Linked DNA regions of Pelodiscus sinensis. Each later gene encodes a partner of the first gene's protein in a complex. Links are inferred from orthologs where the notes say so. Each region holds a gene or a part of one and is shown on either strand. Other genes may lie near its edges. The genes, in order: MPP1 and GYPC.

Region 1 (14,882 bases):
CGGCCATTGGCCACGCTCCGAGCTGCAGGCTCATTGCTCCCCGGACGGGCAGGATCCCAGCTGAGCTGCCCCCAGTTCTCAGTGTGCCCATGAGAGCAGCTGGCCCTCCCCAGCTTGGCCCCAAGAGGACCCCGCCAGGGGGACGAGAGAGGCGCTCCGGCACCACGTCCCGTCAGCGCTGGGTCACTGTGCCAAAGCCCCTGGCACCAGGGCAGGCGAGTGGCCGTGGGCGGTGGCTGCGGAACTGCCCCAGCCAGTTCCCGGTGCTAGAAGGGGCAGTGGGGTTCTGCACGTTTACCCGGCCACCCAGTGCCCTCCACTCCCACTGGAAGCAGGGCTCAGAGTTCAGGGTTGGCGCTTTGATTGCTCCCGGAGAAGGAAAAGCAATCTGCCTCCAGGGCACTGACTCTCACTTATCTGCGCCTCGGGCTGCTCCTTGCAAGGGCAAAGGGCAGGCAGAGATGAGGCGCCTGCAGAGATAAGGGCACTCTAGCACCAGGGGCCGTGGAGGAGGGTCCACAGCAGCAGGAGGAAGAGAAACTGGATCAGACTCTTCATGTTTCAGCATAAGTGCCAGATATTGGACCTTTTCTAAATCTACTTTTATGAAAAATCTCAACTGCTTGGGTCAGCACCAGCCCCTCCAAGTCGCTGTTCAAAACTCCTCGGAGAAAACCCCAACATGTAACCAGCAGTATTAGGGTCTGTCTACATGGGAATACTCAGGAAAGTGAATCTGAATTAACTAAAGGTGTAGATAAGTGAAACTCATCCAGCTGCTGTGTTGACACTCTCGTTCAGGATTCAAGAGCCCGTCAGTCCATTTCGCTTCACTCACACAATTCAATCCCACCGCAGCAAGGCCATGTCCATGCTGAACGACAGGCTCTTAATGACGTTTAACTCACCGACTTCAGACGTTAATTTGAATCAACTTTCCTGGGTGTCCCCAGGCAGACGAGTCTCCGGGGCGGTTCCAGGCTTTCTGAAGGCCCGTCAGGCTGTTTCAGCTTCCCCCAGACCTGCCTCTCAGGTCCAAACCCTAGCGAGACGGGACCCCCCGGCTCCTCTTCTCTCGCCAGCCTTGGCGCTTCCCCTCGGCAACGGGGGCCGGGGTAACCAGCCCCACTCCGGCAGAGTTTGCCTGGCCCCTTCTGTGCTCCCTTGGTTGTGCTGTGGCTGTCAGCCTAGGACGTGATCCTCCAAACAGTCTCAGACAAAAACCCAGAGGTGCCTTTTGCTGCCCCTCCTACTGGGGCACGGTGTCTACCTGGGAGTCTCACCCGTCCCCTCACAGGCGCTCGGGTTTGGCTGTCTCCCCTGCGGGCAGGCACCTGGCCTCCTGCCCTGGAGTGGCAGCTCCGCTGTCAGGCTCCCCAGAAGGGGATGTTTCAAGGCCTCCGCCAGCCCTAATTGGATTCAGACATCCCAACGTGACCTGAGGTAACCCCTTCTCAGCTTAGAGGCGCATGCTCCGGTTAATCCCTGGCCTTCCAGGAGCCTCTTGCAGGCGTCACTGCGCTCAGCCCGGGGTCCCGGTTCATGTGACGCCGGCCCAGCAGCCTGCCAAGAGCAGACACATGCATCAGCATGCCAGGAGGACGTGTCCGCAGGCTCTGCTGTACAGAACCGTCGGGCATGGGCAGGCAAACGGCTGGCAGGCCTCGGGCGGGCACTACCAGCTGGTCTGCACTGAGACTGGTGACCAAGGGATGCAAGGTGCCCTGGGCCTACCCCGAAGTCCCTGAGGCGCAGTCAGGCGCCGTCTTCCCTTGCTCTGGGGCTCGGGAGAGACCAGGTGGGTGAGGAGCCGGCTGGGCCCTGGGGAGGCAGCAGCGACTCACCCCCGGGTGCTCTACGGGCTCTGAGGCAGACAGCAACGGCCCCTACCTTCCCCGGGACACCCTGCAGCCGGTTCGGTTCCACCGCGCCCCTTTCGCTGACGAGAACGTGCCCCTCTGCAGGAGTCCGCAGGTCCTGGCTGGCAGACTACACGGATGACCTCTGGATCCATGTCCGGGAGTCCTTCCCCCGGGTAGCTCTGTACGCCTTCCCCCTGGCCTTGGGGTTCATGCTCCTCCTCTGCTGCATCACGTAAGTGTGCGCCTGCTTCGGAGCACAGGCCGCTGCCCCGCTGCGTCCCCAGCCCAGAGCCCTGCGTGGCCGCTTCCTTCCTTTGCCAAGGCTGAAGGCCTGGCTCCGAAGGCGGCGCGGCCGCAGCGCAGCGGAGAAGTAAGGGCAGCAAGACTGAATCACGGCGGCTGCGGCTGGGGCTGCCTGCCTGGGGAGGGGCATAAACAACTCCCGACACCCCAAAGGGGAGCCAAGCCAGCACCGCTGAGAACCACTGCCCAGAGCTCATCCCCAAGGGCAGGAGACAGCTTTCAGGGGCCAGTCTGAGACTGGAATGAACCCCAGGGACCGCGGCCGAAGTTCAGCTCCTTGGCCTGCCTCGCTAACGGAAATGCATCGCTCTCCTCCCCCGCCGTAGCAAGACACCCCGGGGAGAGGCTGGGAATAAACCGCAGGGGCCAGGGGCCAGGCACGCAGCTGGATGTGCCACACTAGGCGCTCGGGAAGGAGGGTGAGGTAACTACTCAGAGCATCCATGGCTGATGCGGCCCCGCCCCCGCTCCCTCTCTTCGGAGCCTGTGTCCCGGGAGACGCTTTGACGGGGGTGGGTGGGAACAATTCGTTTCCTTTCTTTGAAAAAGCGTTTGCAGGAGCCCGAGCACTGTGCCCTGCTGTGGGGGAAGCCCTGAGCAGCCTCCTTCCATTGCGGGTGTGTGGCCGGAGGCTGCTCCCCGGGGCCTGGCGCCACCTCTGAGAGGTGTGTGGTTCCAGTAACCCTGGGCAGGCCTTCGCTTCCGGGTCCCACAGCCAGAAGCAGGGTCCCCTCGGGCAGGAGAAGGGTGTAGCCACAGCACGTCGCCCCTTCATCACCGTCATTCCGCCTCCCAGCCCCTTCCCCGGTCAGTCCTTCGCTGAGCGACCTGCCGCTCCTCTGCTCTCCCAGGGTTCTTTTGGACTGAGGAGACCAGACGCGCTTCCGCAGACGTGCCCATGTCCTCTCCGGCCTGCGAGGAGACGCCAGCCGGGCCCAGATGCTCACGGCCCAGCCGGAGGAAGCCTCCCCAGGAAGTTCGAGGGCTGCATGTTCCACAGACAGATCCCTCTGTGCTGTCACTACCACTGCAGGGCTTTATTTGAATGAAGAACTTTCTCCCAACAGCCACATTGAATTCCGTATTTCCAAATAACTCCTAGGGCTTGTCTACCTGGTGTGGCAGACCAAAGGCAGCGGGTGAGGAGTTCGGTCCTAGTGGGGGCCAGGAGGTGGGCGGGCGGGTGTGCAGGAGGAGTTTGGTGGCGGGCAGGCACACGGGTAGTTGGGTGTGTAGGTTCATGTTCCCTCAATAGGCTGCCAGAGACAGCTTCTCAGCCAGGAGGTCAGACAGGCACCTGGGACTCCTTCAGAGACTAGGGTTGCCAGATGGTTTAACCAAAATACCAAACCCCCTCCCCCCCCAAAAAAAAACAGTTGAGGAAAAAAAGGGGGAGAGACCAAAGTTGTTGAGAAAAAAAAAGGCTCCAACAGTTACTAAGCAAAAAAATAAACAAATCAAACCCTCACAAAAAAAGCCAGCATAGCCCCTTTAAGGCTTTTGGGGTTTTTCTTACTCTGTGCAGGAAGAGAGCTCCCCTGTGGAACCAGGTAAGTAGGGAGCAGAAGGGACTTGGGGGGGCTGGGAGGGGCCAGGGGGCTGGGCCCGGTTGCTGAGTGTCACAGGGTTGCCAGGTGTTTGGTATTTTCACCTCCTGGCAGGGGAAAAAAAATCAGAAGATGCTGGACATTTTAGGTGTCTGATTTTTGTACTGTCCCTATGCTGGCGTAGACCCGCCCTACGCTGACAGGAGGGGCTGTCGGTCAGAACGCCACCTCGCCACGCAAAGGCAGCTGAAATGTTCTAGCTGCATCTCCACTGGGACTGAGAACAGCCTGGCTCTGGCAGTCCAGGGGGTGGAGACCTGAGGTGTCATCAATGGAACGTGTAAGGCCAGGCCTGAAATAATGTTCAAGTGAATTAGTGAGATCACATTAAGCCCGTGTGGATGCTTTTCTTCAGAATTAAAGTGACCTGAACAGTTTAATTCTTAACTGACATCAAGTTTCATTAAGTCACTTCAGGGAATTAAACTAAACTGAATTCAGGTCATTCTCATTCTGAGTAAAAGCATCCACACGGGTTTAATGTGACTTGTGTTGCCCAGGGGTCTTTCAGTGCAAAGGTCTCAGTAACTTTGCTCCATGCAAGGATGCGTCAGGAAAGAAATCAGGGAAGTCGTGGGCGTCCGACTGATAGATGGCACGCGCAGGACAGCACGAGTGCTTCCACTTGCAGCTACGCTTTACTTAGCACGGGCACGTCTGCAGCAGGTAAGCAGAACACCCCACACTCAATTGCTGGAGTTGGCTGGTGCTCCATGCCACAGCGGCGGCTTTCCAATGGCAAAGCGTCCATCTGCTGGTGGGACAAGATGTGTCCAGAGGGAGAGGCCCAGAAGTGCCCCCCCCCCCCACACACACTTTTCTTCCCTGTTTTCATGAGCAGGCCAATAACAGGTCCTACTTCCGGGTTCTCTTCTGATCCTCCATCAGCAGATGTGTGTGGGCATGGTTTGCAGGCCCTGTCGGACACACCCCTGGGCACAGAGACAAGCTCCTCCCTTCTGACTGCATCTCAGCAATTTCCACGTCAGGAAGGGTGTAGGGTCAGGCTGCCCTTTCTGTGGCACCCAAACCCCCTCCCCTCCTGATCTGGTCATGCTGCAGCCTAGGCCCATGTGCAGCCTGTTAGCTTGGCTACTTGTCAGCTCATCTTCCTGTGGGACCCTTACCAGCCCATAGATCTGCAAAGCCTGCCCTGCCATGTCCCATTCCCTGATGGGCGCCTCTGGCTTCTCTCCAGCTCAACGTGGCTCTGCCCTGTAAGAAAGAGGGTTTCCTGCCACCCGTGGCTCACAGGCACTGCTCAGGAGCCCCACAAAAGAGCTTACAGAATCTTTGCTCCATTCGTTTACAAGGTGCCTTTGTAATGGGATAAGCCCTTCCCGGCTGCAGTTCTGAGTCGTGGTACGGGTCCCTCCCGAGCAGGCTGCGCTGTGACGTGAGGGACTTGTACCAGCCGGGGTCCCGGCCAACGCCAAGGTCTCCTTGCACTAGACACTGCGCAAACACCGTGAGCTCTCTGGGACATCTGCTGTCTCCTGCTATCTGAGCAGACAAAACAGGACGGGTGGGAGGGGAAGGATTTGCACAAGGTCAGTGGAGGGCTGAGAAGAGAAGCGAGGTCTCTGACTCTCCAGCCAACTCCTGTTCTCCTGGATCAAACGCCTCTCAGCACTGGCAAGGTGGCACCCCCGACGGGAGAGTCAGGAAAGCCCCTTGGCCCGCAGGGGGATGGGGCAAGCAGAGGTTTTCTGACCGGGCCTCTAGAGACGGGTGTGAATCAACCCCCCAGATCCGAACAGCTCGACTTCAGGGAAGCGGGGCTCAGCATGCGGACCTGGCTGGGCTGTGGGGCGGGCAGATCTCAAGTCCTGTCCACGCTGGGTCTCGTGTTGCAGTCTACGGCCCTGTAGCCGTGTGCCCACATGCCTGGCAGGGCGGAGCAGGGGCTTGTTTTGTTGGGCTGCCATGCGGGGACCATTGGGACTCTGTTCAGAGGCTGGCGGCTTTTTCATTTAGTGCTGGGCAAACATTTTCAGACTAAACTTTTTTCATCAAAAAAATGCAGGTTTGGGTCCATGGAAACATTTCACAAATTGGCAGCGAAGTTCCCAGCTGCTCTGGAGGGAACTCCCAAGAAGACTGAAGTGCCCATTCGGACACTTCCCCAGTCCGGACAAATGGCATTTCAACCTCTCCTCCATTTCAAAAAGCTTTTACATTCTCAAAAATGAAATGAAATGTTTAATTTGACCCCCAGGGATTGGGGGGGGGGACTGGGAGAGTGCGGGTGTGGGGGATGGGAGAGTGGTGATGGGGGGGACTGGGAGAGCACGGGAAGGCGGGGGGCGCACGGCTGGCTGGGGGCAGGGAAGAGGAAGGCGGGGGGGTGCGCGGCTGGCTGGGGGCGGGGAAGAGGAAGGCAGGGGGCGCGCGGCTGGCTGGGGGCGGGGAAGAGGAAGGCAGGGGGTGCGCGGCTGGCTGGGGGCGGGGAAGAGGAAGGCAGGGGGCGCGCGGCTGGCTGGGGGCGGGGAAGAGGAAGGCAGGGGGCGCGCGGCTGGCTGGGGGCGGGGAAGAGGAAGGCAGGGGGTGCGCGGCTGGCTGGGGGCGGGGAAGAGGAAGGCAGGGGGCGCGCGGCTGGCTGGGGGCGGGGAAGAGGAAGGCAGGGGGTGCGCGGCTGGCTGGGGGCGGGGAAGAGGAAGGCAGGGGGCGCGCGGCTGGCTGGGGGCGGGGAAGAGGAAGGCAGGGGGCGCGCGGCTGGCTGGGGGCGGGGAAGAGGAAGGCGGGGGGGCGCGCGGCTGGCTGGGGGCGGGGAAGAGGAAGGCGGGGGGGCGCGCGGCTGGCTGGGGGCGGGGAAGAGGAAGGCGGGGGGGCGCGCGGCTGGCTGGGGGGAGGGAAGAGGAAGGCAGGGGGGCGCACGGCTGGCTGGGGGCAGGGAAGAGGAAGGCGGGGGGGCGCACGGCTGGCTGGGGGCAGGGAAGAGGAAGGCGGGGGGGCGCACGGCTGGCTGGGGGCGGGGAAGAGGAAGGCGGGGGGGCGCGCGGCTGGCTGGGAAGTGGGGGGGCGCACGGCTGGGAGGGAAGCGGGGGGGGCGCACGGCTGGGGGAGAAGCGGGGGGGCGCACGGCTGGCTGGGGGCGGGGAAGAGGAAGGCGGGGGGGCGCACGGCTGGGGGAGAAGCGGGGGGGCGCACGGCTGGGAGGGAAGCGGGGGGGGGCGCACGGCTGGCTGGGGGCGGGGAAGAGGAAGGCGGGGGGGCGCGCGGCTGGCTGGGAAGTGGGGGGGCGCGCGGCTGGCTGGGGGCGGGGAAGAGGAAGGCGGGGGGGGCGCACGGCTGGGAGGGAAGCGGGGGGGGCGCACGGCTGGCTGGGGGCGGGGAAGAGGAAGGCGGGAGGGCGCACGGCTGGGGGAGAAGCGGGGGGGGCGCACGGCTGGGAGGGAAGCGGGGGGGGCGCACGGCTGGGGGAGAAGCGGGGGGGCGCACGGCTGGCTGGGGGCGGGGAAGAGGAAGGCGGGGGGGCGCACGGCTGGGGGAGAAGCGGGGGGGCGCACGGCTGGGAGGGAAGCGGGGGGGGCGCACGGCTGGCTGGGGGCGGGGAATTGGAAGGCGGGGGGGGCGCACGGCTGGGGGAGAAGCGGGGGGGGGCGCACGGCTGGCTGGGGGCGGGGAAGAGGAAGGCGGGGGGGGGCGCACGGCTGGGAGGGAAGAGGGGGGGGCGCACGGCTGGCTGGGGGCGGGGAATTGGAAGGCGGGGGGGGCGCACGGCTGGGGGAGAAGCGGGGGGGCGCACGGCTGGCTGGGGGCGGGGAAGAGGAAGGCGGGGGGGGCGCACGGCTGGGGGAGAAGCGGGGGGGGGGGGCGCACGGCTGGGGGAGAAGCGGGGCCTCCCCATCAGCCTCTCTCCGCCCTGCCGGGCTCTCCGGGCCCCGGGGGCGCGGCTCTCCGGCGGGGCGGGGCGGGGGAGTGACCGAGCCCGGCGCCTGCCCCTGCGCTGCCCGGCGCGTCCTTCTTGCGCGGTTCCGCAGCCCGCGCCGGACCGAGCCGCTGCAGCGCCCCCGGCCCGGGGACTGGAGCCGGCCAAGCCCCCGCCCGGCCGGCTGCAGCGAGCCCGACATGACGCTCAAGTCCAGCCGGGGCGCCAGCGTGGGCAGCATGCGGACCGCGCTCTCCGACCTGTACCTGGAGCACCTGCTGCAGAGCCGGCCCAAGGCCGAGGTGAGGGGCGCGGCAGCCGGACTCACGGGGCAGGGCGCTGGGTACAAGGCGACTGGTGCCGGGGGCTCGGGGCCCGCTCACCAGGCCGGGGGGGGGGTAGAAGTTGCCGTAAAGCGCCCCCCCCGCCCAATGCTGAAGCCCCTGCCCAGGGAAGGGGCAGTTGCAAAGCTTGTTTTGGACACAGACTGGGGGGCACCCCCCACAGCACCTTTGGGCCCCTCCCTGCTGGAGGGCGCATGCTGAGCTCGGCCTCCGGCTCAGGGCAGGCTGTGCCCCCCAGTGCTGGGAGAGGGGCCCAGCAGAGGAGCCCTGTGGCATGTGCCCTGAGCAGCACCCGCCAGAGAAGGGGGGGGAGCCAAGAGCAGCAGCAGAACACGAGGTGGGTGCCACGACCCACAGCCTCCTGCAAGCGGCTGCCCTGCCTGCTGCGTGCAGAGCTCGGCCCTTCCCCCAGGCTAAGGTCCCCGGGAGCTTCCTGCCTGCAAAGGTGGCCCCAGGGGGACGCTAACAGCTCCCTGTGGTGCTTCTGGTGCTCGTTAACGCCGCTGGTGCCTGCGGGCTGGGATGCTGGTGCTGCTGGGGGCTGGCTTTGCAATGCACCGAGGCCAACACTGTCAGTGCCTGGGTATTTATCACAGTGCCAGCCCAAGCAGCCCTCAGCGGTGGGCACCTGCCCTTAGATGTCTAGTTCTGAGTCGCTAGCTCCTGCCTTCCCTGGGTGGAACTGACGTGCCGAGCGGTTTGGGGTACAGGTGTGGCATGGCACCGGTCCCCCCCACGGCTGGCGAAGCAGGGCCAACTAGAGCCTGGCCCTGGGGCTCACAGTGGCTCTGCACCACTCCGTTTCTCCATCTGCACCAGGGGGGAAGGGTCCCACTCCTGGTGTGCTCTGAGATCCATGCTGGAAGGTGTTTACTGCAGCATCTCTCGGTTCTTGTTCTCGCCCCGCGCAGCCTTGCAGCCTTTTCTGAGAGCCACACACAAGGGTTGAGGCTGGCTATGGCAGCCACTGCTCTGCACAGCTCCAAAGAGATCAGCTGTTAGCGCTCCACTTTGCTTGGATCCCAGCCCCGGCAGAGCCCAGGGCCCGTCTCTCGTGTGAATCCGGAGCGACTCCCGTGAAGACAGCAGCATTAGAGTGGTGTGAAACTAGAGTGGGTGGCATCAGGGTTAGAGGCAGGGGTGCCGTGGCTGGGAGTGGGGGGGTGGTGCTCTGTGTTACTCCCATGTTACCTGCCTGGCTGATGTGGGGGCAGCGTTGATCAGTTCTGGAGAGGGACAGGTGCCATGGAGGGAGGTGGCATTCACTGGCCCTCGGTCTCGGAGTGCGGTTGGGGGGCAGCTGGCCCCGAATCTGTCGGGAATGGCCCTGTTCTGTTTCTTGCTGAGCGTTTCGTGGGCGGCTCTCCTCTCCTCTCCTCTCCTCTCCTCTCCTGGAGGACAGGCAGCGGGAGGGGCATGTCAAGCTGGCTTGGAAGAGGATTTGCCGTTTTGGGGTTGCCGAGCGGGAGGAGGGGGCTGCAGCTCCAGGCAAAGACGAGGCTCTTTCTTGTTTTTGCTGCAAAGTGCAGCTGGTCTGAACTGGAGCTGCCTGTCACATGAGCTGCTGTAGCTGCTGAGCAGCCTCCACACGCAGGTCCCCGCGCCAGGCTGGAGGAGACGTGGCAATGGGCTTCAGCCACGGGAACAGGCCACTGCGTGGCAGTGGGGTGGGGAAGGGAGCCTCTGCAGCGGCCGCATGCCCAGCGGTCAGTCGGGGAAGCCTGTGCACTCCATGGAGCCATGAGTCTATCCCGTGAGGCGCTCGCCTGTTTGGCCCAGCAGTACCTGGGGAGGGGGGTCACTCGCCAGCTGCACACTTGAGCAATGAGGCTTCTGGTTTTAAACTCACACAAGCAGGGAGGAAACTGGAGACCAGACTGAAACTTTATCCTTAACCCACCCTGTTGTGCAATAAGCCATCCCCTCCCCCCTGAGTGAGTCAGTGAGCTTTCCGCCAGAGCCCTGGAGTCTCTGGCTGGAGGGTGGGTTTGGTGTGTCACTCTTCACGGTTCCTGCCCCCGGCTCACTGCCCCAGATCCCACAGCCGGCTCCACCGGGGTGCCGTGGCCTCAGACTGCAGTGGCGCTGCGACTGGACCCGCTCGGAGTCTGCGCCCCCGGGTTTCCTCTTGGTGCCCTGCTCTGCATCCGCGGGTCTGTACCCTTAGGAGCCGCAGATGCCATATGGGGATGCAGGGAGCGAGGCATAAGCAGTGGGGCTGGTGGGGAGCTGGGGGGCACGGGGCTGCTCTGTTTTCCTAAAGGTCTCCTGGTGCGTCAAGGCATTTGGGACAGGCCTTGGCCCAGAGCCTGCAAGGAGCCAGCTGTTTCTGAGCCCAGGAGGGACGTTGAAATACGCGTATTCCTGTGAACCGGAATTCTGAAAATCCGTTGGAGCTGAGCAGGACGCTTTGCTTGAGGAAATCCAAGCTCCCAAGTGGCGTTTTGAACCCGGTTTGGGCCTTTCTGGGTAGGAGCAAATTGCAATGAAAAGCCATTTTGAAACGGGAGATGAAATGTTCTGCTCTCACAAATTCATAATGGGCAGGTTCAGCCTCCTTATGATGCTTTTTGTGTGGAACGTGCGCTGAATAGTCGCCGCGGGCTCCGTGCTGTGTCCCAGCCCTCCGGACGGGTGGCGAAGGAGGAGGGTCCCCGGCCCCTGGCCCTGCTGCTTAACCCTTTACTGTGCTGGGCACATGGGTGGGGTCTCCAGGGCTTCCCTGGCTCCTTGCTGCCTCCTTTTCTCTCTCCAGCTGTGGGTGGGCACTGCAGCCGGGTGCTCTTCCCTCCTCTCGGCCCATTGAGACACAGAGCCTCTCCCAGTCCGTCAAAGCCCCCTGGCTGCAGGTACCACATTGGAAGGGGCCTGTGCCCCCAAGGAGCCCTGGTGATCAGTAACCAGCTGGGGAGCTTGAGCTGTCTCTGTGCACAGCTAGCAGGCCCAGGGGAGAGTAGCTGGGTTGTGCTGTTGTGAATGGCTTGCTTACGGCTTGGGAGGGGGAAGACAGCCTGTGCCCTTAACTGGGCTAGTGAGGCTGGGCGGGTCCCCGGGCCCTCTTGGGGCTGGCACTGGGGCTCTGGCCTTGCCCTCCCTCCCGGGTGGTGGATGGATTCTGGGAGGAGCGGCTGTGATGGAGCCAGGCGGTCGCTCGCTGTTCCTTGGGTCGCTGTACCAGCCCGAGAGCCCCGGGGAGCTTGGCAGCCTGGGTTTCCCATGGGAGTCCTGGCTTCCAGCCAAAGCTGACCACGCGGAGGCAGGTGGCTCCATCCCCTTTCGGGCATGCAGGGGGCAGAGCGGCTCTTTGGACAAGGTGAATGATCGAAGTGCTGGGAAGTTCATGGTTGATAGCCTAGCGGTGGGGGCCTCCTTTGCTATGCTGGGGCTGCTTGTGCCTCTCCTCCCCCAGGACTCGTGTGCCCTGGGGGGGAGGGTGGCTGGGCCTTTCCAAGGAGTCTCCTCTCGCCAGCCCATTTTACAGATGGGGGCTGGATTCAGACACTCCAGAGCTTGATCATCTGACTGCTCTGCCTTGCTCCCAGTGGGGTGCTGGGCAGTGTTCCATGTGCAGAGGAAACTTTATTGTGTGTGCCAATGTGCACCACCAACAGGAACACACGTTAGCAGCGGCGCTCTTCTAATCAGCTGGATGGCATTGGAATCTCTTAGTGGCCGCCCGGGTGCCCAGCTGGCAGGGAACCCTGGTGCTGGGGCTGGGTTGGTACCTTGGGGGTGGAATGGATACAATTAGAGAACACTAGGGCTGGAAGGGCCCTCGAGAGGTCGAGTCCAGTCCCTGCCCTCATGGCAGGACCCTGCACCATTTACCATTCCTGACAGATGTTTATCTAACCTGCTCTTAAATATCCCCAGAGATGGGGATTCCACAACCTCCCCGGGCAATTGATTCCAGTGTTTCACCAGCCTGACTGGCAGGAAGTTTTTCCTGATGCCCAACCTCAACCTCCCTTGCTGCAGTTTAAGCCCCTTGCGTCTTGTCCTCCTTAGCTTCTGAGGACAGACCAATTTTTCTCCCTCTTTCTTGTGACACCCTTTTAGATGCCTGAAAACCGCTCTCCTGTCCCCTCTGTCTTCTCCTTTCCAAACTAAACGAGCCCAATTCCTTCAGCCTCCCCTCCTAGCTCCTGTTCTCTAGACCTTGAATCGTTCTCGTTGCTCTTCTCTGCACCCTCTCCAGTTTCTCCACATCTTTCCTGGAATGCGGGGCCCAGAACTGGACACAGTCCTCCAACTGAGACCTGCCCAGCGCAGAGCAGAGCGGAAGGACGACTCCTCGTGTCTTGCTCCTGTGAATGCCGCCCAGAATCACATTTGCTTTTTTTTGCAACAGCATCACACTGTGGCTGGTATTTAGCTTGTGGTCCTCTAGGACCCCTAGACCCCTTTCTGCAGGACCCCCCTACCCAGCCGCTGCCCATTCTGGATGTGCTGCACCCTCCATCCCTTGGCACGTGTGGCCCTCACAGGCCTGTCTGCAAAGCCCCACGAAGCCCGGGTGTGCAGAGCAGCAGCACTGTGCCCGAGAACTGAGCCTGGATCTTCAAAGCGGCACCAGGTGCCCTGGGCTCTGGCCTGAGCTGGGTCCCAGTGCACCAAGTGCGGCACCACCCCTTGCCATGGCTGCCCGGGTTCTGCTGGGCCAGCATTCGGGCTGTACTTTTGCTGCCACTGGCCCCTCGCAGGGCGCCCGGCCAGCACCCTCCGAGGCAGTGGAGAGCCCTGCATGAGCAGCCGGCTCTGCCAGACCCTCGTGGCCCCGGCTCTGAGGATCAACAGGCCACACAAGGCCCTGCTGTGGAGCTCTGGCTTTGCAGGAGGTTTGCTCTGACCAGGCTGTGGCACATCCCCTTAGCCAGGCCTGGCCCAGCCCCGCTGCCTGGCCCCTTTGTCCAAGCCAGCTCGGAATGGAGGCTTTTCGGTCTTGTTCTTGGGAAGCTCACGGTCGCCCGTTGCCTTGCTGCGGCCTGGAGATGCTGCTTGGCGGGATGGAAATGCTGCGTTTACCCACCCGCGTGGAAACGAAGCCAGCACGGGATCGGGTTCCTGACTGCACCAGCCCTTTCAAACTTCCCCTTTTCTGGCGTACGCGGAGCGCAGCCCTGGACCCGCTTTGCTGCTGTGGTCGCTGCTGCCGCCTGACTGCGTCCGGCCAGCCCCAACTGAGGTCCCTTTTCCAACCCTTTCTCCAGGAGCCAGGGCTAGCAGTGTACTTGGCTGCCACTGTCATGTAGTCCTGGGGCTCCGGTAGCTGGGGCCTCGCTGAGTCCTGCCAGACTCAGACAGCTGAGAGCTTTGCGTTGCCAGTCCCTGTAACCCTCCGCGCCTCGTGCTTTCCCCTCTGCTGCGGCGTCTGCTTGGGACCCGCCTTGATTGAACCCAGGTAGAACACCAAGGCCGGCGCCTGTTTAACCCCAAGGGGCTGGCCCTGGCTGTGTGTGGGGCTGTTAGCCCAGCTGCCCGCAGCAGAGCAGCTGGCTCTCCTGTCCCTCTTTCTTCTCCCCTGCGCTTTGCTTTTCCCAGAGTCGTTTCAGCAGGGCGGGTGGGGGGACGGAGGAGAGGTTGGGAGCAGGTGTGCGGAGCTCCTCCTCCATGAGCTGCCTCTGCCCCCGGCTGCCCACTCCTGCCTGGGCTCGTGCTGGTCCTGTCGTGCCGCCCCCAGGGGCGATGGTGCGAGTACAGTCTGCCTGCCTGCTCGTGCGAGACTCCCTCTAACTTCTAGGGCCGTCCTTTGGGGGAAGAGCCAGTCTTGCGTGAGCAGCGGCTGCTGCTGGGGAGTCCAGGCAGCCTCAGCAAACTGGCCCCGTGGCTAATTACCCTCGTCGTTAAAGATGTTCCCATATTTCCAGCCTGCTTTGCCTCACGTCCTGCCACTGGGCCCTGCTTGCGAGACGGGTGAGCCCATGTTCAAACGTCTGTGCCCGGGCCGGGATCCAGCCCTGTCACCTTCTCGTAAGCTAAATCGATTGAGCCCCTCGACTCGCTGTCTCCTCCTTTGCTTGTTCTCTGACCCTGGCAACCGCTCAGTCTCCTTGGCCCCAGATCCAGATGTGGGTGTCCCAGGGCCGAGGGCCGAGATAAAAGAGCCCCCCCCCTCCTGCTCAGGATTCCCCTGGGGATGCTTCCAGGCTGGCATCTGCCCTTCTGGCCACCCTGTCACAGCAATAGTCCCCCTGGCCCCCCATCTCTGTCGCTGCTTCCTGGGAGAGTCCCTGCCCCATCCCAGGATTGCCTGCTTTGTGCAGCTGCAGCCGTTGGCACTGAGCCGTGTCCAGAGCCGCGTTGGTGGCTTGGGCTGACGGACTGCCTGGGCAAAAGGCTGTGTAGCGCGGCAGCCAGTGAGCGCCCCAGCTGCTAGGCTGCTGAGCAGCTACTGGGCAGGGCATGTCGCCCATTACGCAGCTGGAAGCAAAGGTCGGAGCGGGGGGAGGGGAGTCCTAGGCTGCCCCCAGCCGGATCCGCTGACGGGAATGTGCTGAGCCGGGTGCTGGAATCCTGCTGAGTCAGTCGCCCCGCGATAAAGGGGAAGCCCTGCTGACTCGGCTCCCTGGAGACACTTTGAACTCTGGCTGGGCGCAGGGAGCCTGCTGGAGACCGGGAGCCGCCTGCCTCAGAACAGCTCCCTTCCCTGCCCAGAGCTTCCCCACGGGTCCTCCTGCTCTCCCGCCCTGTCTGCTCCCTGGGCCCAGGCGCATCTCGGTGTGTTCTGTCTCCCCGGCCTGCGTTGCGGACCTGGCTCCTCATCCGCCTGGGGCTTGTCGCTCAGCCACGTGCTGCACCTGGCTGGGGTGGCAGCCGCATCTCTGGCCAGACGGATTTAACACGTCGGGCAGGAGCAACCTGCCCGGCTCTTGAATTTCTAGGCAAAGGTTTTGGG
Region 2 (15,201 bases), on another chromosome or scaffold:
AAGAGTGGGCTGTGACCTCGAGCAGAGTCTTGGGGTGCAGGGTCAGGGAGGAGGTATGAATGCAGGAGAGGATTTTGGCCTGTGGAAGGTGTGGAAGAGGGTGCAAGGTCGGGGAGGGAGTTCTGACCTGGGAGAAGGGGGGAAAGGGGTTCAGAGGGTTTAGGTGGTGTCCTGGGGCAGGTAGTTGGAGGGAAGAGAGGGGGCAGGGTGCCAGAGGCAGGCTGTGGCTGGGAGGTGCTTACCTAGGTGACTCCCAGTCAACAGCCCTGCAGGAAACTGAGGCAGGCTCCCTGCTGCAGTCCCAAGCTCGTGGGCTGGCTGTACCATGTGACTGCTCTGGGCATGGGGGAGGAGAAGAAATAGAGAGGGAGGCTTTACAGGCTGTCCCTGCCCCCAGCAAAATTTCTGAGCACCTATTGGCTGGAAGCTGGCCTATGAGAGCTGAGAGATTTTGCGGGGGGACGGGACAGCTCTTGAAGCCTCTCTCCTCCCTTCCGAGCATCCAGAGCACAGAGTGAGGTGCTTTGTGCCTCCGGATCCCAGGCGGCGGCCACGGGTCAGATCCGGTGGCTTGGCATGGCTGCCTCTTGCCCACCCTGATGTAGTCTAACTTCCTGCATAACACACGCTGCAGAACTTCTCTAGACTAATCCCATCCAGAGTCCAGAGAGGGGCCAAAGGACCCTTTGCCTGGATGAACTCTTTATCTTTATTTGGATTCTTTCGTCCACCAGGAAGGGGACTGGTCTTACCTGTGACCTGCCTGGACTGCTAGGCTTTGGAAGTTATAAACAGGCATGCAAGTTGGATGAATGTAGGTGTGGAAGGGGCACATTCCAAACTTCGTATGCCGCCCCCAATTGGTGTCCAGGAGAAATCTGAGAGACGACATCTCTCCGCGGAGTTTAAGGATCAACAGGATAATGGCAAGCGAGTGCATATTCCCGAGCACTGGAAGGAAGTCCGAGGTGGCTGACGGTGGAACGCTTACCTCACTCATGTATCTCCTGGGAGTATCGGAAGCCTGCACATGCTGATATGGTTTATTACGTAAGAGCTAAATGATGCCTCCGGAAGCCGGAAGAAGGCACCACTTAAAATATAATACCATCTTGGTAGTGACAACGCCTCCATCCGCCTCTAAACTCACCAGTGCAAGATACCCAATGTCCTGGAAAAAAAGGCACCAAATTATATCTTTTTCTACACCCATGCATTGGAGAAAAGATTCCTTCCTCCATTCCGCTCTCTCATGCGCCTACCACAGCCAAAGCGACGAGGAGTCCTGTGGCACCTTATAGACTAACTGAAGTGTAGGAGCATAAGCTTTCGTGGGCAAAGACCCACTTCGTCAGATGCATCTGACGAAGTGGGTCTTTGCCCACGAAAGCTTATGCTCCTACACTTCAGTTAGTCTATAAGGTGCCACAGGACTCCTCGTCGCTTTTGCAGATTCAGACTAACACGGCTACCCCTCTGATACCTACCACAGCCAGCCTCCAGTGGAGTCAGTGCTTGGTCCTGCCGTGAGGGCAGGGGACCGGACTCCATAACCTCTCGAGGTCCCTTCCGGTTCTAGTGCTCTAGGATTCTATGCCCTCCATGCAGATGCCGGAAGGGACAGGGCATTGATTGGTCTGCTTTCTATCAAAGCAGGGCTTGCAAAGATTCCGATCACTTCTGCAAGCATTAGATTAACTGCGCCCTAAGATACTCCTTGGCTACGTCTACACTGGTATGATTTTCCAGAAATGCTTATAACGGAAAAGTTTTCCGTTATAAGCATTTTCGGTAAAAGCACATCTACATTGGCCGGATGCTTTTCCGGAAAAGCACTTTTTGCGGAAAAGCGTCCGTGGCCAATCTAGACGTGTTTTTCCTCAAAAAAGCCCCGATCGCCATTTTCACGATCGGGGCTTTTTTGCAGAAAAGAAATCTCTGCTGTCTACACTGGTCCTTTTCTGGAACAGTTTTCTGGAAAAGGACTTTTGCCCGAACGGGAGCAGCATAGTTTTTCCGGAAAAGCACTGATGATTTTACATTATTCATCAGTGCTTTTCCGGAAATTCAAGGGGCCAGTGTAGACAGCTGGCACGTTATTCCGGAAAAGCAGCTGATTTTCCGGAATAAGTGGCCAGTGTAGACACAGCCTTTCTGTTTAAAGTCACAGGCAATTGTCTTGGTACCTGTCTGCTTTTCATTGCTCCGTATTCATCGCCAAAGCAGAGAGACTTTCAGTGCAAATGCGACTGTCACAACCCGTCGTCCGAAAACACGGCCTCTCTGTGCTAAAACAAGGACTTAGTTACAGTGGATAAAAACAAAGCGCTGAGTGAATATCTGTAGCGACCTCCTGGCCCTGTGTCTTAGCACAATTCCTATTATTAGATTTATTATAAATAGCGCTGTGGTAGCCCTGATGCCCGAGTGACGTTTTCCTTGCTACTTACAGCTGTATTATTTTTTAAACCACCACGGTTTTTTACATGGAGTTTTTTTCTTCCTTTTATAGTTAAACTTCTGAGCCGATCAGTTGCTTAACGTCAGGAAGAGCAAAATCCGATTCAGCCCTGCAGACACACAGACGCTTAACTCAGTCATGGGATGGGCTTCCCTTCATAAAGCCTCGCCTGAGCTCAAGCGATCGCACGACAGGAGCCTCGAGATGGCGGGATTATGAAAGACAAAAATGGGAGTCAGAGGCCAGCAACTTTCAGCGAAAGCTGGAGCCTAGACTTTGTGCTTAGTTCTTACGTAATTCCGTGGGAGTTAGGAATTGATGATCTGAGTCTAGGTGTAACGCCAACATCTAGTGACTTTTGTGCTTTGGAAATTTCCCCTTATTGACTTACCCTGGTTTGCTCAAGTGGCAACATTTCCACTGAGCTTAGAGACAACATTCAGAACATACTGATCAAAATGCCAAAATTCTCAGGCCATTCTGGGGGACAAAGGGAGGCAGGATCCTTGGTGTATAACTTAGCGTTATGGATGTTGTAGTCCTTGAACACTGGTTCCAATGGGTCCCGCTAAAACTATATCATGTTTTAAAAACGGGTTAATCGGTTGCCTCTTATTTTCCTTGTTCAGGAGTCAAATAAGTTTTAAAAATTGGAGGTGTGTGTCTGCGGTGGTGTGAGTGAAGATTTAGCCTGGACCTGTTCTAATAATAAATTGCATGCTGATCATATTTTTACTGCAGCCAGGGCATAGTTTAGCTGTATCTGATTGGCTCTAACTCAAGAGTTCTGACTTTCAGCAGACGAATACACAGTGGTGAGAAAAGCAGCTCACAGTTATTATAGCCACCCATGACAAATTGGGCTCCAGAAAACACAGAGACAGTATTTGTGAGCTTTTCTAATGATGATGTGCAGATCTTTGCTTCTAGAAACAACAGGCTTCATTGTATGTGTGTGCAGCTTTTAAATGAAGGTAATTAGACCCAATAATGAGACACATAAAGGTCACAGATGAGGTTGATTGACCATTTCTGCAGTACATCCCATAAGTCATGTGTTAGCAGTGTCATGTCCCAAGTTTCATGGCAGGGAGGCAGCGAACATGGAAACAATCCAATGTGTCAGGAAACAGATGTTGGCTCAGAGATCACTCCGCCAGCACAAGTAGATCCGGCCACTTCTATTCCCCATAATAGCAAAGCTCGATCATGGAATTAAACCAACCACTCGGTCAGCTCGTAGATAACTGCTAAGTAACAGGTAAGCCCCAAACTTCTAAAAGGGCCAGGTAGTATGTGACACACCGATTCTCAGTTTAGACTTTTGCTGCATTTGGGACAAGGAGGAGGAGCTAGTGGAGGAAGCAACAGTGGCTTTGAGCTGTTGCCCTGTGTGTAGCCACTGGCGTATATTTGAGCAGCCTCAACTGGTGCTGTGCTTTCCCTGGCCTCCTCAGGGCCCTGAGAAGAAGAGAGATTCATAGTCCAGTGGAATCTGGATTGAACTGCAATTCTTCGCCACAGAATTCCTATGGGAACGCGGGTGAGTCACTTAATCTCCTTGTACCTCCATTCCCCATCTGCACAATGGGGACAATCATACAGCCCTGCTTCCCAAGCACATGGGGAGGATAAATGCATTAAAGATTATGAGGTACTTCAACACTCTGATAAGACAGCAATATAAATACTGAAGATATCTAGAAATAAGGACAGGACACTTAACTGATGTTCACCTCGCAGGTCAGCCACCGATTTCCTGTGTCACTCTGAGTAAATCACTTCCCCATCAGCCAAATGGGAATGGTTGAGGTCTCTCTTTCCCAGTGGTATCAAGGGGATTGCATTTAAGAAAATGGAGGCCAAATGAACCAGCTTCAGTGGTATGGACTAGAAGTAGAAGTAGTTCCGGCACAGGTAGATTAGTGGGCAGTGGGCAGGTGAGGCGGTCAAAGATATAGGCTGCGTGTGTGTGTGTGACCACTCCCACACCAGTGTGACCCCTCTATAATAAAATGGCACCTAATTTGCAGAGTGCTCTGTCATCCTTTGTAAGACACAGGCAAACAGGACATTCTCAGGAAGGCTCTCAAAGCTTTGGAGATGGGCAAATGAACAAATGTCTCCATCACGGCAAAAAAAAAATTCAGTTAAAAATTGCCTTCCCTCTTTGGGAGACTCTGTGGGCCAAGAAGGCTCAGGTATCAGCCCATGAAAGGCTGCCACACAGGCTGCTCAACCTGCCTGTGCTACCACAGAGAGCGGATGCCTCTGGAGACATACAATGTTTGACAAAATAACGCTTTCACCTGCGGTTTAGTGGTCCTTCTCCATACGACTTTCCCTGGCCACAGCAGCCGCTGGATGTAAGCGCAAGAGGAGGGTTCAGACAAAGGAGACATTCATGGCCAACGATAGTGTTTGATTCTCCTCACTTCCCTCCATGCTCCTTATTTCCTTTCTGCCTCTATTCCCTCAGGGCAGTTGACTCAGGGGTCAAAGGGAGAGAACACTGAACCTTTCTCCGTTCAATATTCCTCTCCCAGGCTCCTTGGAAAAGAGGCCTCTCTCCCCTTTAAAGCTCATAGACCCTTCCCCTGCTGGCGGACACAAAAGGTCCACCATGACGCAGAATCGCTGACTTTCTGCCGAAGGGCAGGGCCTTGCAAAGTGGGCCCCACACTCTGCAGATTGAGTCACGGTCTTGCAGGGGCTCCCAGCCCAGTGGCAAAGCAGGAAGTGGGGCTAAAAAAAATCCACTAGAAAGGAAGGATGCTCCAGGGTACGTCTAGACTACGCCACTGTCAACAGAGAGAAGTTGATTAGGCACGTCAATGTTGCTAATGAAGCCAGGATTCAAATATCCCATGCCTCATCAGCATAAACATGGCCATTGCTTTTTTTCTAAATGGAGTTTTTTCAAAAAAAAAAACCTGGCAGTCTAGATGCACATCTGTCAAAAATAAAGCCTTTTTTGACAAATCCTGTAGTCCTCAAAAAACGAGGTTTACAGGATCTGTCGAAAAAGGCTTTATTTTCGATAGATCCACGTCTACACGGCTGGGTTTTTTTTTTGAAAAAACACCATTTAGAAAAAAAGCGGGGGCCATGTTTATGCTAATGAGTCATGGGATATTTAAATCCTGGCTTCGTTAGCAATTTTGACATGCCTAATCAACATCTCTCTGTCGACAGAGAGGTGTAGTCTAGACACACCCCCGCGTTTAGGGCGATCTTCGATGATCTAGACTGCATTAATTACTCTGCTACAGACGTACGGTGGACCTCCTTGGGCAAATCACTTATGGTCAACTCCTCTGAGGGTACCTCACTCCCGTGGATTTCAGAGGAAGCTCAGAGACGAGTTACTTTGACAGTCTAGGACTCAGTCTTGCCTCAGTTCTTCATGGGGATAATAGAAGTTCCCTTACCTCACAGCAGTGTTAGGAAGTGAAGTAGAGCAAAGATGGTGAAGAACACTGTGTGGTACTACAGTAATGGGGGCCATATCATCCCTTCAGGACAGGAACTGTCCACTCCTCTATTTGTACAGCGCCTGGCACAATGGGACCCTGCTCTTCTTTGGTCCTGGGGCACTCCTGTAATAAACACGATTAATGGTAAGCCCCTATAATTAGACAGGGGTGAGGTCACAGAAGACCCTTTGGGGCTGTTCCCTGGTGTGCTGAAAAAGCCACTGACACTCACCTTCTTGCTCTCTGGGACTCCCCACCACCTGTCCTGTAGGGCTAGATTCTCTTTTCTCCCCCAAACAACGCACAGAGTTGGGGTAACTGCTGCCCCCTCCCTCCAAAAAGCAAAGCAGATGTTGAACCAGTTCCGCTCCGGGAGCATGCAATTCTAGCTCAGCTGTTTTGGCAAATCAGATTCCATCCTCACCACAGAGTTCCCGAGCATCCAGAGAAATTAGTCCAGATGGGAATGGAGACAGGATTTGTGGCTAAGGCCGGATCTATGGTTAAAAAATTAAATTGCTCCTGGATGTGAAACCTTTCGCACCCTGTGTGATGTGAGCAGGTCGATTCGCTACCCTGTGTAGACACAGATGGATGCAGGTTAACTTCACTGGCAAAATAACCCCTTTCATTGACGTAGGCTGCATCCACACTATGGTGCTATGCAGAGACACCCTAAGGACTGTAGACACACCCTAAGGGCTTGGCACCACCTCAGCCTCCTTCCTCCCCTTTGCGTAGATCCACAATGCGCTGTGCGAGCAGCGGGTTTTTGGGGCAGAATGGGAAAGCCGAAGACAGCGGTAAATAGAGTTCTAGTCACTATCTGCCATTCATTGCCAGTGTCCGTCCACTGCGAGTCAGATCTTAATCTGGTACAAACTGATCTGAGGAAGCCAGTGGATTCATAGCAGGCTTTTTTGTCCCTGTGGCCCTTGCTTTGCTGTGCTCTGCATGCCAGTGAGTATCCGAGGGCTCTCTACATACCGTGAGATTCTGTTGAACTCGGCGCTATGAGTTATTTACCGTATCGGTGCCTGCAAACAAGGCTAAGTTGTTTGGAGTCGGCATGTACGTTGCCACTCCTTCCATCCTACCGTTGTTGAATAAGTATCGGGAGCCAACTACACAGCCATGTAGGCAGCAGCCGGTCCCTTAGGTGACTTAACAGAAAGACGTTGACACACCCTTGCATAACAGGGAGCATTTCAGTCCCCGCTTTTCTCTGCTCCTCCCCTCCCCACTTTGAGTCAGACAGTTACTGTGTGGTAGACAAGGAAGGAATGCTATGAATTTATCCTGGCCTACACAGTCCATTGAGAACTGAGGATTGATCAGATCTTAATGAAGCCACTTGACTCTGATTCTAATGAACTAATAAAACAAACAAGCAAAGAAACAAATACATAACAAGATGAATGAATAAACGAATAAACGAACGTACAAGCGAGTGAGCGAGTGAGCAAGCAAATAAATAAATAAATTCCCTGTATTTTGCGGATACCTAGAGGCCTTAACTGAGATCAGATGCTATGCTACATGCTGTACAGACACGGTAAAAAAACACGGCCCGAAGGATCAACGAGGAGTCCAGTTAGAGTAACAGATTCGTTGGGTTTTACCAATGGCAGCTCATGACCTATTTCATAAGATGAATTGGAGTAAGAAATTACAATCTCCAGGGTATATATAACAGCAAAAGAAGTTACCTCTCAGTTGTAGGACCAGTGTTAATGAGGCTAATTAAGGCAGTGTGAATGTGTCTCATTCGCAGCTTTTATTGTGGAGATGCGAATATCAAAAGAGGGAAAATTGCCTTTCCAATGCAGTGTACTCTCTGTTATTCCTTTCCAGCCTACCATGTGATAAAGTGGGCTTCACCCATGAAAGCTCATGATACCATTTTTTTTGTTAGTCTCTAAGGTGCCAAAGGACTACTCATTGTAATGTGTTAACCAGGTAAGCTCGTTATTGAAGCTTACGTTGATAGTGTTGAATTTGTTGGATATTCACATCTCTACAGCAAATGCTGCAAATAAGACATCCACCCTTATTTAGCCTCATTAACACCAGTCCTACAATAGACAGGTAACTTCTTTTGCTGTTCTACATACCCTGGATTCTGTAATTTCTACTCCAGCTCATCTGATGAAGTGGGTTTTACCCACAGAAGCTCATGACCTAATAAATCTGTTTGGGTATGTCAACACTAGCCCCCTAGTTCGAACTAGGGAGGCTAATGTAGGCATTGGAAGTTGCAAATGAAGCCCGGGATTTAAATACCCCGGGCTTTACTTACATCTTCCCATCTGGGCGCCATTTTTAAATCCCCTTAGTCCGAACTAACTGCCCACGGCTACATATGGCAGTCAAATATTAACTCGAACTAAGTCCTTAGTTCGAGTTAACTGTTACACCTCATTCCATGAAGTGTAACAGTTAACTCGAACTAAAGACTTAGTTCACGTTAACATTTGCCTGCCATGTGTAGCCACGGGCAGTTAGTTCGGACTAAGGGGATTTAAAAATAGCGCCCGGACGGGAAGATGCAAGTAAAGCCCGGGATATTTAAATCCCAGGCTTCATTTGCAACTTCAAATGCCTACATTAGCCTTCCTAGTTTGAACTAGGGGGCTAGTGTCGACATACCCTTCGTCTCTATGGTGCCACAGAACTGCTCATTGTTTTAAAAAAGGGTTTCCCCTCTGAGATGGCCTAAAGAGTTAATAATCTAAATAGGCAAGAAAGAAAAAGTATAAGGAGATGAGAAGTATTTTCATCCCCCTTTTATCAACAGGCAACTGAGGCGTACACAGACTCAGATACTTGTCTTAGGTCGTGCAGGAAATATGTGCTTGAAGCAGGAATTAAACCCCACTCTCCTGAAAACCAAGCCAAGTGTCTTGATCCCTGACTTCCTCCTTCCTCTTATTAACACCAGTGAAACTACTCAGACTTCAGTGGATTTATTCCTGATTTATACCAGTTAAATGAGAGGTACAGTTAGAGAATCTCTGGGCATAGACGTTTCTGAGCCAGAATGGAATTTGGATGCCTCATCCACGGGGCTGGTCCCCGTCTCGGGATACCAGGCTGGACAGGATTGAAACCAAGCCCTTTAAAAAGCCTTTTCTTTCTACGTGTTGCTGAAGCTTCGAAGTTCCTGGAAGGCAGAGGGCAGGGATACGTCAAACTTGAAAACAGCTATCTGAAAGTGGGGGCCCCTCCCTGCTCATGTGAGCTGGAAAGGCAGCAGAGAATGACACATGGGCTGTTTCCTTTTCCAGTTGTAAAGGGGTCAGGAACTCAGCAAGGAGTGTCTGAACAAGTGCTGCATTCTCCTGGGTCCTTGGTCTCTCTTCCCTGCCTCTCCAGCCGTCTCTCTTCCCTGCCTCTCCAGCCTGCGATTCTGAACAGAGGAGAAAAGCTGTCAAGGCAAAGAAAACATTTCTGAAGGCGTACATTATGAGTTCCCTAAACTCTGTAGTAACTCCATCACGTGAGTACCCTCCTTTCCTCTCCTCCTTGCAGGAACCGTGAACGTACCCGTCCATTGTTTAACCAGGTGACTTCTAAACACAGTTGACGTTCACAAACCAATTCTGAGGATTTCCTTAAAGGAAAGGGTTAGGGGTGAAACAGTCTGCTTTGGTGTGTGTCTGGAGGTAGCAGAGAGACACGAAACAGACATCTGCAAAGTTTAATTCCTGCATGTAACATTCAGAAATTTGTTACATTTCATTCTAAGTGCTCGTTGGGAGAAAATATAAACTAACTGCTTTTCCCTTCAGGAATGAAAGTATAAGCATTCGGAAGATTTAGTGTCTCTCTTCTGAGATATTAATGGTACCGCCTAGCTTGCAGTTAGAGACACCAAGCCGTCTGTGTGTAATATGAGATGCAAGCCAAAAACTGTCAGTCTATATTTAAAGTTACAATGCTTTTTTTTTTGCTTTGGGAACCTTAGAAACACAATCTCAGGGCAACTGAATTAGTTCTCTCAAGTAAGGCTATTGGGGGGGGGGGGAGAGGGAAATTCAATGCTGGCATAAGTCTGTTGTCTTCAGTGGTGAATGAGAGAATTGGCCCAGGGAATTCAAATGGCCATTTAATCAGCACATAGTAAAATATTTGGGGTAACATTAAAAAAAATTGAGGGCCGGTTTCTGATCTGGAGCAAATCCAGAATAATTCCAGTGATATCAATGGAAATTTGCAAGAACTACGAGAAGTCCTGTGGCACCTTATAGACTATCAGATTCATTGGAGCATAAGCTTTCGTGGGCAAAGACCCACTTCATCAGATGCATGGAAAGTTGTTTGCTTACAGTGGTGTAACTGACAGCAAACTCAGACTCACAGTTCAGAGGAGGGCTTTGAAACAGATTTTTTATTTTATTTCAAATGTAGCCAGTTTGGTAACCCCGCATAGTATTTTTAATGAACCCACCAAAACTGAACCGATGATCCCCACTGAAACCTGTTGGATGGGCGCTAGACAATCTGAAATTTGAAATTGACATTGTCTTCTAAGATTTGAATGAGATCAAAAGAGCGAGCAGGTTTGTTATATTGAAAAGAACCACTGGAATTTTAGGCAAGGATTTTTATTTTCCCCTGGTCTTTTTGCAAGTAGATGACAAATTAAAAGCTGAAAATTTATCTCCATCATTTTTTTTTTTGGTTCCTGTAATTTTGACAAGATTTAACCTTATTTACTGCTAGTGAAGGAAAATAGATATTCAGGCAAAGAGGGATACTTTGGAAGAAAGTACTGTGTCTGGATTATCTGTTGATTTCTTTTCAGACATGTAAATTACTGCAACCATTGCTCCCACATGCCTTGTGGGATGTGGAGAGGGGTTACAATTATTAGCTGAAATGCACATTATTGATTGTGCGGTGTTGTGGGCTACGCAGAAGCCCAATTTACATCCTTTACTAAGGAGTTCAGACAGTCTCCTGGGCCTGGATTCTGGTCCGAGCTCACTCGTGGTGGTGTAGATTAAATTAAATTAATGGAGATTTACTATCTTCTAGAACTGGAAGGGACCTTGACAGGTCATTGAGTCCAGTCCCCTGCCTTCACAGCAGGACCAAAGACCATCCCTGATGAATTTTTGCCCCAAATTGCCTCCACAAGGATTGAACTCACAACCCTCGATTTAGCAGGCTAATGCTCAAACCACTGAGCTATCCCTCCCCCCTAGCTGGAATAACTCTGCTGAAATCAGTGGAATGCCACAAGTTTAAAAAAAGCACAAGCCAACTCAAAAAATTGGGCCTCGCATTTGACTTATGTATGTATGAATTCACTGTGTCCTCATCTCACAACCGTGCACAAGGAGAAAACCGTACATCAAATCATCTCATTGTCTATATCACCTCAGAGGGCATTTTCAGTTTCTGAGCATATCAGACTTTGCAAACCATTTTTTACAACTGATAACTCCAGATGGTTCCATGTAAAAGGTGCACCCCTTAACCAAGTGTTGAACTGAAATAATGTTACTGTCTGCTTTCCAACTCTCCGAATGCTGCTTTTCCTGCAGATGCAGACAGGAAGTGCTGGTATCCTGTTTCAGTTTGCATCACAGTAAATGTGATCCACATTGTTTAAAACACAAAACAAGCACCAAATTCAATTAAAGGGGAAGCCTTCTGGTGACTCCATATGCAAGTTCAGTGCACTATTTCCATGTAGGCCTGTTTTGTTTTCCTGGCACAAAGCCAGTAGCTTTGGCACCAGTCCGTTTCTAATCAAGGCGAAGTTAAAGTTCAGTGTGTTCAGAGGTACAATACAGAACAGACAACAGATGTTTAACAGAGAGGGACTGTGTCTAGCAAAAACAAAGTTGTGTTGCTTGGTAAGCAACATGAGAAGTACTGAAGCTAGTGCAAAGATCCACAAAGCATCCCCAATACATCAGACTAAGTTAAATATCTTATACTAATTTTTTGATACTTGCTGGACAGGCCAGATGACAGCTGTTTTGTGATGTTGAGTGAATGGTGTTGGATAACCTAATTGCTAGGATGCTCTAGTTATTCTCTTGCATTTATTAATGAAAGAGAAGCAAGGCCGGCTCTAGGTTTTTTGCTGGCCCAAGCAAAAAAAATTTGGCTGCCCCCTCCCCCACCCCTTTTTGTTGGCTTTTACACGTTTCCACATTGCAATTTTTTTCTTTTGTTTTGGTGACAGAGTCAAGATTTCCAGCTCACACAAAGCTCTTTTTCAAGAGTGGGAAATGTACCTTCAATCTCTCCTTTATTGTTCTTATAGAAATAGGCTACTTTTGAATTGTGCTTTGAATGCATGAAAAACTATTCACACAAATGGTTAAGGAAATATAAACTAAGTACCAAAAAATAGAAGCGAAAACTTGTGCCACATCTAAAACTCAAGGGGTGCGCGTAGAGTGGCATGATTTTGCGGAAATACTTTTAACGGAAAAGTTTTCCCGTTAAAAATATTTCCACGAAACAGTGTCTAGATTGGCACAGATGTTTTTGCCCAAAAGTGCTTTTGCACAAAAGCATCCGTGCCCAGTATAGACGCGCTTTAGCGCAAGAAAGCTCCGATGGCCATTTTAGCCATTAGGCTTTCTTGCGCGAAAAATTAAGGTGCCTGTCTACACTGGCCGTCTTGCACAAGTATTCTTCCACAAGAGGGCTTATCCCTGAGCAGGAGCATCAAAGTATTTGTACAAGAAGCACTGAATTCTTACATTAGAACGTCAGTGCTCTTGCGCAAATTCAAGCGGTCAGTGTAGACAGCTGGCAAGTTTTTGCGCAAAAGCATCTGCTTTTGCGCAAAATCTTGCCAGTCTAGATGCACCCAAGTAGTTTATGGCTATATTTAATCAATCTTCAAACCAATTATAATCAGCTAACATACTTGTCAACCAATTATGATAACTATAGCACATAAGACATCTAAACTAAATCAATAAATATTTGTATTGTTAAACTAGATTTGTTTTGGAATTCAGTGGCTCCTTACGTGGCTCCAACACATCTATGTTATCAGATAAACTGAGATCAGTGGGTGTGCATATGCACATTATTTTTGTGTGTCCATCTTGCTAGTAGCCATTATATATTCAAGTTTATGAGGTGTTAGAGGGAGTAGAGAGTAGTATGTGCTCAATACAACTATATATGGAATGAAGCTTGCCTTGGAGACATCAAACACAAAAGTTTACCCGGATCAACAAAGTTTAATTCTTTAAAAAAATATCTATGAAACAGCATGTGTGATTCTTTGAAGAGTGTAGAACAGTTAATATTCTGTGTGTGTGTGTGTGTGTGTGTGTGTGTGTGTGTGTGTGTGTGTGTGTGTGTGTGTGTGCTGGATTCTTGTTTGGTTCTACTTCTACTACAAACATGAACAAGAGAAATATACTAGGAACAGACTTCAAAAGGTCCCTGGGTCTGAGGGTGTCGGGGCCTGAGGGGAGAGGCCAGGGTCAGGGCCAGCAGGCTGCGTGTTTGTAGGTTTGCCAGGTGTCCGGTATTTTCTGATTTTTTTTTACAGGACAGGAGGTGAAAATACCGGACACCTGGCAAGCCTAGGCAGAAAGGGGGCATCTTACCTGGTATTTCCATATGATGTAGGCAGAGGGATGGCTGATGGCTTGGAGTGGAGAGGCTCTCGGAGGTAGCGGCCACCAGGGAGGAGAAGGACTCAGGACTCAGGAATAGGAAACAGGGGCGGCCAGCAGGCTCGCACATGGTGCCATCTCCCGTGGCCCTTTAAATTGGTGGGCAGGGCAGGGCGGGGCTAGGTGTTGCGGGGGAGGGGAAAAGCAGGAGAGAAGACAGAGGTGGCATCTGGCCACGGGCTGCGGCCCTTTAAATCGGTGGGGCGGGGCTAGGTGTTGCCAGGGGCAGCACCGGTTGCTTACCTGAAATGCTGCCCCTGGCAAAGTGTAGGTTTGCCTCCCCAAGCACCTGCCTGATTTGCTGGTGCCTAGAGCCGGCCCTGATGAGAAGGGATTTTTACTCCCTCTCTCTTCGTATACAGCCCTAGCAGATTTACCAGGCATTGCTTGGCTCCTTAACTCAATTATTTTTTTTAAAAATCAAGGATAATGTACATGCCTTGTTGAAATGGTTATATTTTACAAACAACAGTGTTATTTTTATTAAGCTAATTTTAGCATTTTTTTTTCAAAAATGGGAATTCCATCAAGAGTATTTTCCTCATTCCTATAAACTCTTACCATTCTCTGTGTTTTAACCAAAAAAAGGGCTATTGCCAATTTGGTTTCCAATCACATTGTTTTCTCGCTTTCAAAACTTAAGCATTGGCAAAACAGAACACTACTCCAGATTTCTCCATTTTACCTCTTTTCTGTACAGTGTATTGGGAAGCAGTGCTATTCCAAGGTTCATCCGATGGGTTTGGCTCATCTTGGTTCAGTCTCTTTCAACAGTCACTCAGTTATGTCAATTTTGAGGCTTGTACTTGCATTGGTGAGTCTGTCTCTTTTCTGTTTCGTTTTATGAGACTCAATCCCATTCCAGGCACATCCTGTTTTCCAGCCACAACTAAACGCTTATGTTCCTTTAAGTTGTGATAAGAGGGAAATGTATACTGAATGTAGTGGTCATAGCTCTTACCATTTAGGAGGAAACTTAAAAAAAAACAGTGAATTGTCTTGCAGTACCTTGGAGACTAACAAAAAATGTAGATAGTATCATGAGCTGTCATGGGCACAGCCCACTTGTTCAGATGCAGGGAGTTAAAGGATCTAATGTTTATTTGAACCTTGAACCCCTTAAACTCCATTCATCTGAAGAAGTGGGTGTGCCCACGAAAGCTCACGATACCATCCACATTTTTTGTTAGTTTCCAATGTGCTGCAAGGCTATTTGTTGTTTTTTAAGTTTTTTAACTTTACAGACTAACACGGCCTCCACTTTGAAACATTTAGGGGGAATTCATAGAATTCTAGAATACTAGAACAGGAAGTGACCTCAAGAGATCATCCAGTCCAGTCCCCTGCCCTCATGGCAGAACCAAACACCATCTAGATCATCCCTAATTGAAATCTGTCTAACCTGCTCTTAAATATCTCCAATGATGGAGATTCTACACCCTCCCTACACAATTTATTCCAATGCTTACCCAACCTGCCAGGAAGTTTTTCCTAATGTCCAACCTAAACCTCCCTTTTGCTGCAGTTTAAGCCCATTAATTCTTGTCCTATCCTCAGAGATCAAGGAGAACAATTTTTCTCCTTCCTTCTTGTGACATCC

What was found.
Region 2: the proteins of MPP1 (region 1) and GYPC are in contact, whole or in part, in an NMR structure (PDB 2EJY), measured with the Homo sapiens proteins. The link is inferred for Pelodiscus sinensis from reciprocal best matches to the Homo sapiens genes MPP1 and GYPC. Residues at the interface, in NP_002427.1 of Homo sapiens: Pro81, Met82, Gly83, Ile84, Leu86, Lys87, Leu88, Leu100, Val130, Gln134; in NP_002092.1 of Homo sapiens: Arg123, Lys124, Glu125, Tyr126, Ile128.

What each region holds. Positions count from the first base shown.
Region 1 is NC_134723.1:779,331-794,212, reverse strand, and holds the start of MPP1 (55 kDa erythrocyte membrane protein), read left to right. Parts: upstream 1-7,690; 5' UTR 7,691-7,843; coding exon 7,844-7,945; intron 7,946-14,882. Other genes in the region: SMIM9 (small integral membrane protein 9), read left to right, coding at 1,965-2,094, 3,017-3,032. UniProt on the Homo sapiens protein: Essential regulator of neutrophil polarity. Regulates neutrophil polarization by regulating AKT1 phosphorylation through a mechanism that is independent of PIK3CG activity.
Region 2 is NC_134717.1:4,076,234-4,091,434, reverse strand, and holds the start of GYPC (glycophorin-C), read left to right. Parts: upstream 1-8,931; 5' UTR 8,932-9,402; coding exon 9,403-9,436; intron 9,437-15,201. UniProt on the Homo sapiens protein: This protein is a minor sialoglycoprotein in human erythrocyte membranes. The blood group Gerbich antigens and receptors for Plasmodium falciparum merozoites are most likely located within the extracellular domain.